2 linked regions of the Drosophila melanogaster genome follow. The protein of the gene in region 1 interacts with the protein of each later gene in a pairwise test. Each region holds a gene or a part of one and is shown in the gene's direction. Other genes may lie near its edges.

What was found.
Region 2: the proteins of Fer3HCH (region 1) and scaf6 interact in a two-hybrid assay, tested with the Drosophila melanogaster proteins (one large-scale study listed by BioGRID).

The regions. Positions count from the first base shown.
Region 1 is NC_004354.4:13,105,814-13,110,347, reverse strand, and holds Fer3HCH (ferritin 3 heavy chain homologue), read left to right. Parts: upstream 1-2,153; 5' UTR 2,154-2,251; coding exon 2,252-2,386; intron 2,387-2,448; coding exon 2,449-2,874; 3' UTR 2,875-2,966; downstream 2,967-4,534.
Region 2 is NT_037436.4:17,036,034-17,045,415, reverse strand, and holds scaf6 (SR-related CTD associated factor 6), read left to right. Parts: upstream 1-2,841; 5' UTR 2,842-2,956; coding exon 2,957-2,978; intron 2,979-3,142; coding exon 3,143-3,313; intron 3,314-3,375; coding exon 3,376-3,722; coding exon of another isoform or gene 3,723-3,731; exon of another isoform or gene 3,732-4,482; intron 4,483-4,814; coding exon 4,815-4,977; intron 4,978-5,205; coding exon 5,206-5,278; intron 5,279-5,785; coding exon 5,786-5,860; intron 5,861-6,082; coding exon 6,083-6,159; intron 6,160-6,222; coding exon 6,223-6,421; intron 6,422-6,483; coding exon 6,484-7,485; intron 7,486-7,542; coding exon 7,543-7,710; intron 7,711-7,781; coding exon 7,782-8,096; intron 8,097-8,160; coding exon 8,161-8,332; intron 8,333-8,385; coding exon 8,386-8,484; 3' UTR 8,485-8,557; downstream 8,558-9,382. Other genes in the region: POP5 ribonuclease P/MRP subunit, read left to right, coding at 391-410, 466-703, 757-936; Papst2 (PAPS transporter 2), read right to left, coding at 1,042-1,198, 1,261-1,442, 1,499-2,350; beg (bad egg), read right to left, coding at 8,578-9,382.

The DNA.
Region 1 (4,534 bases):
GTACATATATATTACTTCGATTTGAATTGTTCCGCCAACCCTTTGAATTTTATTTACACTAGTCTTATGCCTTGTGGAAAGTTCTCAAATTTTCCCGCACTCATTTCCCCGTTTAACGATCGTATTTCACAGTTTTGCATGCACTGCGACTGACTGTAAATTCCAGACGATCGGGTGCTTGTAAATTAAAATTTAAATAAATAAACGCATTGGAAATTATGACCAGCAGCAAAAGTAAATGAATGTTAACTGATACACCGTTCGTATGTATTGTAAATTATTCGTATGTTGGCGACGGCGATCGAAGCCACAATTTATTGAATTGAACAATGTGCGCAAAGAAATACGTGATATTCTGAAATAGTCGAGACGGGAATACCCCTTAAGATGTAATAGATATTTTAGCAGCTTATATTTATACCAAAATTAAGATGGTACACATTTATAACACTTAATTATATACATACAATTGAATATTTTTTTAATATATAGTTTAATTTTTGGAACAAGTTTGTATGCTCTTTGAAAGAGTATCATGCCGACAATAGCTCAAATCGATTAAATATTTTCGTATGCCGTACGCTATTTTCGACCTCATGTTCAGCAAATTATGTTGGATTTTGTTTTTTTTTTTTTACCTCATATGCTGACGTTTGAGTTTTGTGTTAACACGTCGAATGTATATAAAAATTTTTTTGTGACTCCGCAGCTTAATTTAATGTTAATAATTTGTTGCACGTTTTTATGACACTGCAAACTGGATTGTTGCCATTATTTTGGAGGTGATGTAAATGTGTCGCTGAAGCTGTCACACTTGTCCAAATTAAAATCTTGTTGGCATTACGGGAGTGGAATTTGAAATTTAACTGAGTTCCGATGTGGATTTTGTTGAAATTCAATATGCTTAAGTAATTATAGAACTTTAATGCCTGTAAAATCTTCTACAAAATTCTAGAAATTTTTCTGTGTTCAAAAGCCTTTCCATTTGACCCTTAAATATTGAATAAGATAATAATTTTCATTTTTATTGCGACTGTTGCATAATGAACTAAACATGTTAATTGCCTCTATAAACACACAAGATCATATGTCATCGTTCACTTAATAAGTGTATATATTATTTAATCACAATCATAGGGAAAATTGTTTCATAATGCTTGAAAAAAAAAAACGTAAAGACTCATCTAAAAATGTTTGCTATTTTTTATTTGGGTTGTTATTGTCCAGTTCAACGATGATTTGCATAACTCCTATGTGTTTTTTTTCTCGGTTCGTTTTCCTGTGTGTCGGTGAAAATGAACCATTTATATCTTTATTATTGCCTTTTTATGGGGCGCACATGGCTTCAAGAGTCACCATTGCTTTGTTGGTTTTTTAAATGTGCGTAATGAGTGGATGTTTGTAGTAAAGTGCGAGTAGTTTTGACCACCTGGATGTTTATAGGAAATGTTTGGAAACCTCGGCTTGGGAGATCTTTACATTTTCAATACCCTAAACCTGTAAGACGCGTTGAACTCGCCTACGAAAGCATTTCATTTGAAATACAAAATATAATATTATGTTTTCTATCCTTTAATAAATTAAATTTCTTATTTTAACTTGCATTGGCTGTCGCAATTTTCTGTATCAGCAATATTTTGGGAAAAGCGTTCAAATACCCTATGAGAAAGGGTATAACACGATTATACAAAACTCGGACAAAAGTCGTCTTCCATTCACTTAATAAAAGACAATAACTGCGTTTACTTAGTGTGTCCGTGTTCGTGTGTACTTGTTGAAGTTAAAGCAAACATATCTGGACACAGATATTTAACTATATATGTACATATATACATATGTATCTGTATCTATAAGCTATACGTACGAACGTATATAGATGCGAACAAACCGAGTGAGAGATTGTGTACACACTATTGCTAAGTGGAAGTTAAGTGAAATCAGAGCCGGCAGCACTTTGAACTCCAACCCGTTGTTTTTTGGCCGTCCGAACGGTGGATCAACACCTCCTCCAGATCGCGAGATCGGAGATCGATGCGGAGATGTGAAGATCTGGATATTTGGAGATGAGATCAATGGACGAACTTAGATGGATCGTATCCGATCCATCGACACCTGTCCGAACCGACCCAGTTGCCTTTTAGACACACTGTTTGTGTTTTGACTTTCAATTCCAAATTGTATAGGTTTCTAAATTTTCAAAAACAAAAAAAAAAAAAAAAGATAGAAAAAAACTCAAAAAGAAGCAAAAGACATGGCGTGGTGCTTCCGCGACATTCGGCGCCACATGTGCATGCTGGTGCGTCAGAACTTCGCCAAAAGTTGCGAGAAGAAGCTAAACGATCAGATCAACATGGAGTTGAAGGCATCCCACCAGTATCTGGCCATGGTAAGGTTCCGCAGTCAATAGGGAATATATATATATGCATATAGTACGTTCAATACACGTAGGCCTACCATTTCGATCGCTCCGATATCAGTTCACCCGGAATGCATCGATTCTTCCTAAAGGCGAGCGTCGAGGAGCGGGAGCACGCGGAGAAGATCATGACGTACATGAACAAGCGTGGTGGTCTAATCATTTTGAGCAGTGTACCACAGCCGTTGCCCTGTTTCGCCAGCACCTTGGATGCACTAAAGCACGCAATGAAAATGGAACTGGAGGTCAATAAGCATCTGCTCGATTTGCACGCCCTGGCTGGCAAGGAAGCGGATCCGAATCTCTGCGATTTCATCGAGGCCAATTTCCTGCAGGAGCAAGTGGATGGCCAGAAGATTCTGGCCGACTATATTAGCCAATTGGAGAAGGCACAAAACCAGGTGGGCGAATTCCTGTTCGACAAGTATATGGGCAGCGGCATGCATCCTGCGAAATGAATACCTCAAAATGGACAACCATCCGATGAAGAATACGTATTATAATTGGCAAACCCATGTGTGTTCAGTAAAGATTCGTTTTTTGGCCGATCAATTGTTTTTTTTTTTTTTTTTTTGCTGCCACATTATCAAGTGGCTGGCGTAAAACTAACTCTATAAATATACTCGCTTATCGGCTCCAAGAGTTGCGCAAGATTCTAATTGAAATCGACACCGAAACTGAGTCCAAAAACAAAGCTTCACGAAATCAACAGCTAAACCCATCTGATAACCCTTTAGTTGGACCACAGTGTTGATGGTATTGGATAGTAACTCATCTGCTTTATCCAGTTCTGTAAATACGTTTCTAATCAAATGACACAATATTTCTGTTATATATATGATAACAGTTGATAATCTCGAATCTATAAAGATAAAAGTTAAAAGAAGCCTGACATTTAACTACGCTTGTTCTACCCATTATATAATAAAACACTTGGAACTTGATGATGAAGCAGTTGGTCTATATGATAAGCATTTGTGACGTATTAATAGGTTATCTATATCTATATAGATTGAGATCGTGAAAGTCGGCAAGACACGACAAATATAGTAACTCATTCATTTAGTTACATAGAATATAATATGAAATAAGTACAGAATTGCGAAACTTCGTTCTAAATCAAATTAAATTTTCCCTGATCTAATTTCCGAAATCATGAACCCCTCTGGAAGTTTGTGGGGGCATTCCCACATTGACCAACAAACTCATCCAGATCGTAGGGATCGTTCATTCAGAACTGAATGCTGAACTGAATGGTAAGATCTTGGCGGGGCTTTAATTGAAAAGCGCGTCGCATTTCCGGTCTAAAGTCTGAGGTTCGGAGGCATTTATACGAAGGCAGACTGTACATACATACAGTGCGATACAGATGCGGCCCCAATAAATTGCCATAAGCTGCGGACTAGACCAGACCAGACGAGATGATCTGTAGTAGTAGTAATCCTCCCCCGGCGGGCGGGCGTTAGAAAAACTCGGTGTCTGGTCGACGGCGTACTTGTCCCAATTAAGATTTCTGTCCAATCCAATACAATTTGCAGCTGGAAATGTGAAAAGCCTAGAGAGACGAGATTGCCAGCTGCCCATATGCTATATATATATATATCTGTATATATGTACCTGATCCGTATGCCATAACATATGTCTCTGTATGTCACTTGTGACGATGCAAAGGTGTCGCCTTTTAGATCTATCAATATAAGCCCTAGTTTAGATCTTAAAGATCTTAATGACTTGCATTATAAATCGTTTAATTTTGAATTGAGTCTTAAGTTACACCCTTGTACACTTATGTGGATAGCATGTGTATTATTATATCGTCTTTTTAGTTACTAAATCACATCAATTTTGAGTGGAGGTAATGCTGTTAGACATTACTCGAGTTATCGATACACCCTGAGAGCCGTTCATTTGTGCTATAAAAACAACGAACGTGTAATTAAAAGCCACTTGCGATTCGATTGATAATTGAAACAATTACCGTGGGGTAACCAATAGCCGATCCGTTGTTAATTTAAATAATTGATTTTCAATGCGATTCCGTGACGTCTTCAATCGAATGACAAAATTTCAATTGTAAATAAGAACTTGTAAGCCGAAAGTAATTTGTTGCAAAAAGAT
Region 2 (9,382 bases), on another chromosome or scaffold:
ATTGAAAATATACACCAAATAAGAAATTCTAAGTTCTCACGCTATATAAACATATTGAACATACAAGGTCATTATCTATTCAAGCGTTCCAAATAAATTACAAGACTTTTGGATTTGGAAAAAAATTTGAATTTTTTAGAGAGAATATCGGATATGCAAATAAGGATAAAGATATATAAATAGTCTTTTCCAGCTAACGTTTATTTAAATACAGCTGAATCCTTTATTGAGGAATATTTTTTTCATCCGTATACAATAAGACAACATTTATTTATCACATAAAAAACCGAACAGCTATTTCCGGAATTTTGAAAACCGATACGTTATCGGTAGTTGAAGCGAATTTGGTCTGGCAACTATCTGCGACGTTGCCATATTGATGACACAGCGATGGTTCGCATAAAGAATAGGTAAATATTGACCGCGTTTTCCTTAACGATCATTAATTAAACCATCCATAAACAGGTATATAGCGGTGCAGATTGTGCCCTACACGCCAACACAATCTCTGCGACTCAACGACCACAGCCTGACCAAGATCCTGCTTCAGAATGTGGAGAAGTATTACGGAGTCTATGGCCTCGCCGTGATCGAGCAGGGATTTCGAGTGAAATACATCAACGATCGCACGAAAATGGCAATCATACGCTGTCTCCATCGAGGCCAACGCTTCGTGTCCAGCGTATTGCCATTGATTACTTTGGTTGGTCTCATTGCCATGTCCTTAAACCAGCTATAAAACCACATTTCTTTCAGATCGGAGATGTACGGGCCAAGTTTAGGACGCTGTACATTGGTGCCACCATCATCCAATGCAACAAGTTCATAGTCAAGCACCAAAAACAGTTCCTGGACCGCACCATGGGTCAGATAACCTCCGCCAAGGAGCGCCAGGATCTCTTCAAGCGCGTAATGGAGTTCGACATGGACAGATAGCACATAGTTTGTTTAGAATGTAATTAAGTAATTATATTTAATGGTTTTCTTATAGAAAACCCATGCTTCCAATTCAACTAAAATGTGAGTGTTTTTGGTATCGTTCTAAACTTCGATGAGGAATTTGCGACTCGGTGAGCGGGCAACCTTGGCTCCAAATTGCTTTATTCTCTGCCGGACGTCGGCCAACGTCAGCTTGTTCCTCTTGCTGTAGACATTGAGATATATGCCCAGGACAACGATGAGGCCCGACCACAGATATCTGAAAGTTTGGGATAGGTATAATAGAGCTTTGTCTTTAGAAATACACAGAATAGTACTTACTGTAAGGTAAAGGGCTTGCTGAAAAGCACAAAGGAGAAGGCTATAGTCACAGCCTTGCGGGCGGTGGTCACTGTGGCAGCTATGGGGGCACCACTACTCCTCACCAGAGCCAGCACAAACTGAATGCCCAGATAGCCGGACAAACTAAAGAGGAAGCCATAGCCGAAGGTCTCAACGGGATGCTAAATGGATAATACACTTTAGATCTCTTACATCATAAACCTCAAATGTTACCCACCTCCAAACAGAATGCAAAGCCGCTGAAGAAGTTGCCGGTAACCAGCATAATCACAAATAGGTACACAAAACCCAAGCCGTATGAGTAGAACACCACCTCACTGCTGGGCGCCTTGAATTCCCGCATCGCCTTCTCCTGGACATTGCCAATGGCTGCGTCGCAGAGCAGCGCTCCCGAAATCATGGCCACACCAAGCAGATTGAAATTGGGCGTCATCTGGGAGTCGGCCAGCGTGAACCAGGCCAATCCGATGCACATGCAGGTGGCTGCCGCAAAGTCCAGCAGTCCGTAGCGTTTGCCCTGTATGAGGATGCTGCCCACCAGCACGGGAATGAGCTTGCAGCACTTGAAAATCACCTGGGTGGGATAGTTCAGGTAGCCGAGACTTGAGTTGGACAGACCCATGGTACCCAGCGTGAGAGCAGCCAGAATTAGGTATGTTCTCATGGGAATGCAACGTGGCTCCGGCTCAATGTTCCAAAAGGAACCGCCGCTTATCCGATAGCCCTCCAGCCGCCGCTCCACCAAACCGAAGCCGATGTAGTAGCCAAACTGGACGAGCGTGAGGAACCATCCGTAGGGTTTGAATCCTTCGACGGTGAAGATCAGCTCCTGCAGATAGCCGTACAGGATGTACAGGAAGAAGACGCCGGCGCAGCTGAGCAGGAACTGAGTTGTGCGATTGTAGTAGGTGAGGTCAAAGCAAAGGATACGGAGTTCCGGCGGAGATTCCGACGTCGAGGACTTCCGCTGCGAGGGCGGCGAGTTTCCCGCCGATTCGCCGCCATTAATGGTGATAACGCTCCCCTTATTATCGGTCATTCTGCTGCTAGCGGATGTGTCTATATACATATACACACTATATAGTGGCTATTTCAAGATTATATTTCCAGGGAGCCCGTGTAATTCAATGCCACGCTGTCCGCGGAGTTGTCGGTTTAAAGTGCGGATTTGTCATGCCTCCTCGGATGCTGCATTAATCACGGGCCGGCGTGGAGATTTCTGTTGGGTGCAAATTGCCCTGGCTAAATGTTTGTTTACCACAAATAAACTATTTTTGTCAGCTTAGAACTGAGATAGACGCGCGGCGTTGCCACGTTGTGGTAATAATAGAAGAGAGACCGGTATAACGTGGAACAAGTTGGCAGCTCTGCTACCACCGTCATTCTAATTGGAACTTCTGCTACTGGCAATAAATACATTTAACAAATGAGCAGCGATAAAGGTTTAAGCCGCTTTTTTGCTCAAAAAAGCGTATGATAAGCGCTAAAAACTACTTAAAAAGTAGTGCCGAGAGTAACTCCTAGTATTTGACTACATGTCGTTCTAAGAATACAAAGATATGGGCACACTGTCGGAAAAAACAAGAAGAAGCAGTGAAAAGTGCCGCTGAAAAAGTGCAAAAAGTTATGAATTTAGTATTTTACATAGGATAATAGTGCTAATAACAGTCGCAAAATGGACGTGCAACCGCCACGCGGTAAGTGCAGCAATTAAAAAGTGCTGAATATAACTTAAAATCAAGCTAATTTTGTGCCCAAGTCGATTGGCATGCACATGTGTACACATACAAACAAACAAGCGCACGCACAACCTTTGATATGCTCACATTTTTTGCAAAAACCATTTGCTTTCTATTTGCAGATGCCAGTTTACGAAATATTATCGACAAACTGGCGGAGTTTGTGGCCAGAAATGGGCCGGAATTCGAGGCGATAACCAAGCAGAAGCAGCAGAACAATCCAAAGTTCGAGTTCCTCTACGGCGGGGAGTTCGCCAACTATTATCAATTCAGGGTGGCAGCGGAACAAGCTCGTGAGTGCGTTCTAAATTGGTGGAAAATAACCCCTATAATCTCCTTTTAACACCCAATACAGTGCTAAAGCAACAGGCCATTAACCAACAACTGCCACCAGGTGCTCCATCCGGCCACTACATGCAACATCCGCCGCCAATGCAGCAATCCCAACCACCGGGCCTCTATCCGCCACCCAATCAGCAGCCACCGCACCCGCCCGAAACCGCACAAGACAATATGCAACAGCAAACACAGCACTCCTGGCCGCCGAACTCCGGCAACGGTGGGCCGCCAAACAATCAGCAGGCCAATGGCAATCCCATGGCCATGAATCTAACGTCACAACTGGAAGCCATCAAGATGCAGCAGAAGTCGCTGCGGGAACAGATCCAGCAATCCGAAGCGAATCTCTCCGCACAGCACACGGTAATTTGAAGTTGGAAATAACTGGGATACCTCTATATGCCCACCTTTGCAAGCCTTTTTCCGAAAGATTAGAGCAGCTCGAGTGTATAAAGAAAAGATTTCAATATGATTTCATGTTGAATGTTGGCCTCCTCTGGCAAAAATTTAAAGAAGCAAATTGGTTTCCTTTTTAAACTAAATACCCACCTAAAAGTTGCTTTTATAGTCTGAATATAAGAACGTGTTTGCTTCTTCGAATTTTTGACCTCCCTTTTAAACGACCCAATCGAATGTGAATATACCTCGATTTTAAGCCAGAATGCTTTTAATTATTTTCTTAAGAGAGAAGATAACTTGTATAACCCTTATATACTTTCGGACTTAAATGATTTCCAAAGATATTGTCATAGACTCATAGATGGCAGTTTTGTATTCCCTAGTTTTTGTAATAACAACTCTGGAACAAGAGTTCATCAAATGGTGTTTAATATTAATAATTATGAACTGCTTTTGTGGACTTTTCACTCTATAAGTACTGTGAACTAAATTCTTTCTAATAAGAAGGACATTTCTTATTGCTTGTCGCTATTGAATTTCCCTGTAATGGAAGTGACTTCCCTCTTGAAATTGTTTCTTATGAAACTAATCCACGAATTCCTCAGAATAATCAATCCTGCTCTCGACCCTTTTCCAAATGTTTTTTCAATCGATCTACTCAGTTCTTGTTCTCCAAGTGCGGATAAGATAAAGTTAAAGTGTACTTTCAGCAATATCAAACTACAATCTATATTTGTCATTATTTTTACTATTTAATTAACAATTTACAATGCTACATTAAATTTTTGCTTTATTGTATTTTTTGAAACATAAACCAAAAAAAAAAAAACCAAATCAAACCACTCTTCATACCAACTGACAAAACTGTATAAAAACAAAAAAAAAACAAATCCTAAAATCAAATTTGTTTTGAAACGCTTGTCAAATGAATCCCAAAATGCGAATATGCATGCGAACAAACCTTTGTGTGCCTAATGACCAAACCGAACCGATCCGAACCACACCAACGCTTGCGATCCTAATCGCACCAATCAACCAAACGAAACCAACCTGTAGGCCCTGATGAATCAGAAGACCAAGCAGATCGAGGATGCAATTGCGGCGGCGCAGACGGCGCAGCAGGAACAGATGGCTGGCGAACAGGGCATTGTGCTGAGGGACTTCGATGGCGTTCTGCAGCCGATCATCGAGTCCTGCACGAAGGACAGCATCTCTGCAGGTAAATACGAGTTCAGCGGACAGGCTGGATTACATTATTGCTTGTTTGTAGTCTCGTAATCAGTCATAAGTTAGCTAATGGAGCTGAATTTTTGATGCTCCGCAGCTTTGCTGCACACAAAGCGCACACTAAATGAATCCATACTACTTTTTGATTAATCCTAAACCTAATTTATAATCGCCATGGACAATGACAATATGAGTAACCCGTTTGATATTGCAATTTTAGGCAAGAACTGGATTTTACAGCATTCAACCGACAGCGCAAAAATCAATGTCGTTTTACAATATCTTTTAAAGAAGTATGCCTCAGTTTTATACCTAATGACCTGCAATATGTATTAATTAAATTGTGTTTCTTTCTTTCAACGAGTGAAATACTAACCAAACATAGAAAAACGAAATACGAAATATCGAACAAACAAGTGAGAGATGATCGATTGAGCGATTGTGCGATTGAGACTTCCACAGAGAGGCTCGAGATTGATTCGTTGATTCGTTTTCGAGAGATGTTATGATCATATATGAGTAGTCCCCAGATCCGGAAGTCTTTTAGCTAGGGCCACACACCCAAACAAATCATTTTACTTAATAAGCTTAACCATAAACACGCACAACAACACACCAACACTTAACAGTGATAATCATCGGACAAAAAAAAAAAACCAAAAAAAAAAACACAAATACCAAAAAGAAAGAAGATTTACTAACAAAAATCATTATACTTGCACAACAAGTACTTTTGGCAATGTTGTTGTGCATACAGAGAACTAGAAAAATATGTTTTTCGTTTGTTAATTTATTTTTAGGGCTTTGGTCAATGGTTCAACGTTTCAGCAAAAATTGCATCTTATATATTTAGTTAATGATATACTCCATCACTGGTAAGTTCGCCCAGTCAATTATTAGTATAGTATAGTATTTAAGGGCCATAGACCTCAATAACTAACCCACTGAGCAGTAAGACTACTTTGTGGGTTAGTTTCTGCGGACGACTACGCTGACAGAATTGGACTGAACCTGACCGACCACCGGACTTCGGACATCATACCTTGACATTTAGAGTAGCTAGGAGATGAGACCTAAGTCCAACGATATATTTACAGCATGCGCAAGAACATCAATGACTTGAAGAACAGCCTCGAGAACGTCGTCATTCCGATGTTCTGCAGCGCCGACTTGAGTATGTATTTCCACTTCGATCCATTCCTTTACGGATTTCTAATAGTGTTATCCTCGCCCACAGTTGGCAACCCCGACCAGCGCCAGAAGCTAGCCAAGCTGCTGTCTCTGTGGGAGTCCAAGGCGAAGTTCTTCGATGCCTGCGTCATCTCGAAGCTTCAGTCACCGGACTCGTCAATGCAGGAGTACAAAACCAATCTGCAGAACACACATCATGATATAACTGCTAAATTCACGCAGAATACCAAGGCGACTTTGGATAAGTAAGTATAAAAGTCCAAGAACATAATAGAGCACATAATAAACCATAACTCTTATGCTTCAGCTATCAGAAACAGCATCATGTATTTATCCAACATGCTAGCCAGCAAATTGTGCAGCTGGAGAAACAGGCGCAGCACCTGGAGCAGCAGATTGTGGCCCAGAAGTCCCAGCAGCAACACATGCTTCAGCATCAGCAGAAGAACATACCATCGCTGATGTCCCACCGAATAGCAATGCCGGGTGACCATGAGCACATGAATAGCCAGGGGCCGCATGATCAGCAGCATCCGCAGGCGGGAAATAATATGTATCCAGGTGGTAACTTCCAACAGCAGCAGCCACCACCGGGGAATCACTTTGCGGATCCACGCGGACCGAACTTCTTCATTCCGGACATGTCCAAACCACCACCAGGCTTCCCCGGACCCATGCATCATAATCAGGGCCCAGCAATGGGCCAGCAGCAGCCACAACCGGGACAGTTTCCGCCCATGCAGGCGCCGGGTTCTGGCAATGAACCACCTGTTGATCTTGGCGTTCTCAGTGCAGCGATTCAGGCGTGCTTACAGATGCAGCAGCAACACCATCCTGACGACCCTCAGCAACAAGGACAGCACCAACTGCAGCAGCAGCAGCAGCAACAACCGCAGCAGCAAAAGCAGCCGCCGCCAATGGCTGCCTATCCCCAGAATATTGTTAGACCTGGCCAGCAAAATGCTGATAGCAGCGAAGTGGATCTGGATGTGCTCAATGCAGCCATTCGCGCGGTTATAACCAACAAACCCGAAGACGGAACATTGGAAGATGGCCAGCAACCACAGAAATTGGTCGACGGAGAATCTGGAGAACCTGTTGTGATCGGAGAGCCACAAATACCCACAGCGCCTTACTACGACCTGCCAGCGGGCCTCATGGTGCCGCTCATTCGTCTGGAGGATTACAACTACAAAGCCCTCGATCCGGCGGACATTCGACTGCCAGCTCCAGCGCCACAAAGCGAGCGATTAACAAATGCATTGAACGCCTTCTATTCCGCACCCTCACACGATCGTCCAAGGGATAAGTAAGTATTTCAATTTGATGTTATTGAGCGTTCCTTATAAATGGGCTTATCTTGCAGTGAGGGTTGGGAGAAGCTTGGTCTCTATGAGTACTATAAGGTGAAGAATGCGGCGCGAAAGCAAAAAGAAGAGGAAATCAAGGACGGCATTCGAGAAAAGTCGCGGTCGCCAAGTCCGATTGTGCTCGAGAAACCCCTACCCAAAAAGAGCAACAAGCGAGTTTATCGGTGAGTGTTGGTTTTCCATCAAAAATTTTCACACAAAAACTAGAAATATTTGCACTTATTTTCTTGCGCAGATCCAAGAGTCGCAGTCGCTCCCGCTCAAAAACGCCGCCCCATCGAGATAGATCGTTGTCTCGCTCCCGATCCCGCTCGCGATCCATGGAGCGCTCTTTAACGCCGCCACCGATGAATCGGAGCAGGTTGGGCGGTGGTAACAACCGCAAGGGTCGCAATCGATCTCCTCGCCACGAACGGGACAACAACAGCGGCAGCACAAATACCAGAGAGGGCCGTGGTGATCGTGGCAATTCCAATAGCCGAGACAATGGCAACAGCACCAACCTAAGACGAGTGGACCGCGACAGATCTCTAACACCTCCGAGCTTTCTGTAAATCATGGCTATAGTACAATTTCATGACAGTCGGACCAATGAGCTATCTTTGTTTTTCCAGGGGAAGCACATTTGCCAAGCCAGCGGATTTCATCGAGGAATCGAACAAGGGCCACCAAATGCTCATGAAAATGGGTTGGGCGGGCACGGGAACTGGACTGGGCTCAAAGAATCAAGGCATCGACACGCCCATTTCGGGAGGCGAGGTGCGCGATCGTCGAGAGATGTACAAGGTGAAGTGGCAAGAGTGCGCAAGAAAGGACAACTTATAATTTTCTATCCACAGGGAGTGGGCGCTAATATGCACGATCCCTTCGAGAGCTTTCGGAAGAACAAAGGAGCTGCCTTCGCGCACCGGATGCGATCGCGAGACGACAAGAGTTAGGATCTGCCAACGGTCATAACTTCCCAGTTTTTTGTTTCCTTTAGCCCAGAAAATATACATTTTTATAAAAGCGAACTGAATTTTTATACAAGATTAGGCTATAACATTAAAGCTGGATTGAGCGGCCTTGGCATTTACTTTTTCCAGGACCTGGACCAGGCCCTTGCCAGGACCGCATTCGAAGGTGCGTGGAAAGTCGACGCCCTGCTTGCGCTCGTACATCTCGTGGAGAGTCTGCTCCCACTTGACGGGCCTCACGATTTGCTTGGGCAGCTGCGTTAGGATGTGCTTGGCATGGCGATAGGGTTTGCCATCCACATTGGAGTACACTCTAATGACGGGGTCCTGAAGTCGCACCGTTTTCAGGGCTTTGGTAAATGGCTCCACGGCGCTTTGCATTAGAGGAGTGTGAAAGGCGCCACTGACAGCCAATCTCTTCATCCGCCGGATTTTGAAGGACTTGGCATTTTGTTCCAGGAACTCCAGGGCCTCTACGTTGCCGGCCACTACCTTGCAGTGCGGATACATGTAGTTGGCGATGCCACAGTAGGGCGACTCCACTCCTTTGTCCAGACACCATTGCTGCGCACGAGCGCAGGCCTCTCCCAGATTGGTATCCGGTCCGTAGAGAGTCATCGCCATGGCTCCGGCTGCCTGGTCACATGCCGCCTGCATGGCGGTGGCCCGCACCTGCACCAATCGCAATGCCTTGTCGAAAGGCAGGGCATCCGCGTACACCAATGCGGTAATCTCGCCCAAACTAAAGCCTGCGGCAGCTACACACGTTTCAATGGCCTTGGGTCGCTCCTCACGCAACTGCTCCAGTGCTGCCAGCGAGGATACCATCACAGCCAGCTGAGCGTGCTCCGTGCGATTCAGTTTCTCACGTGGTCCCTCC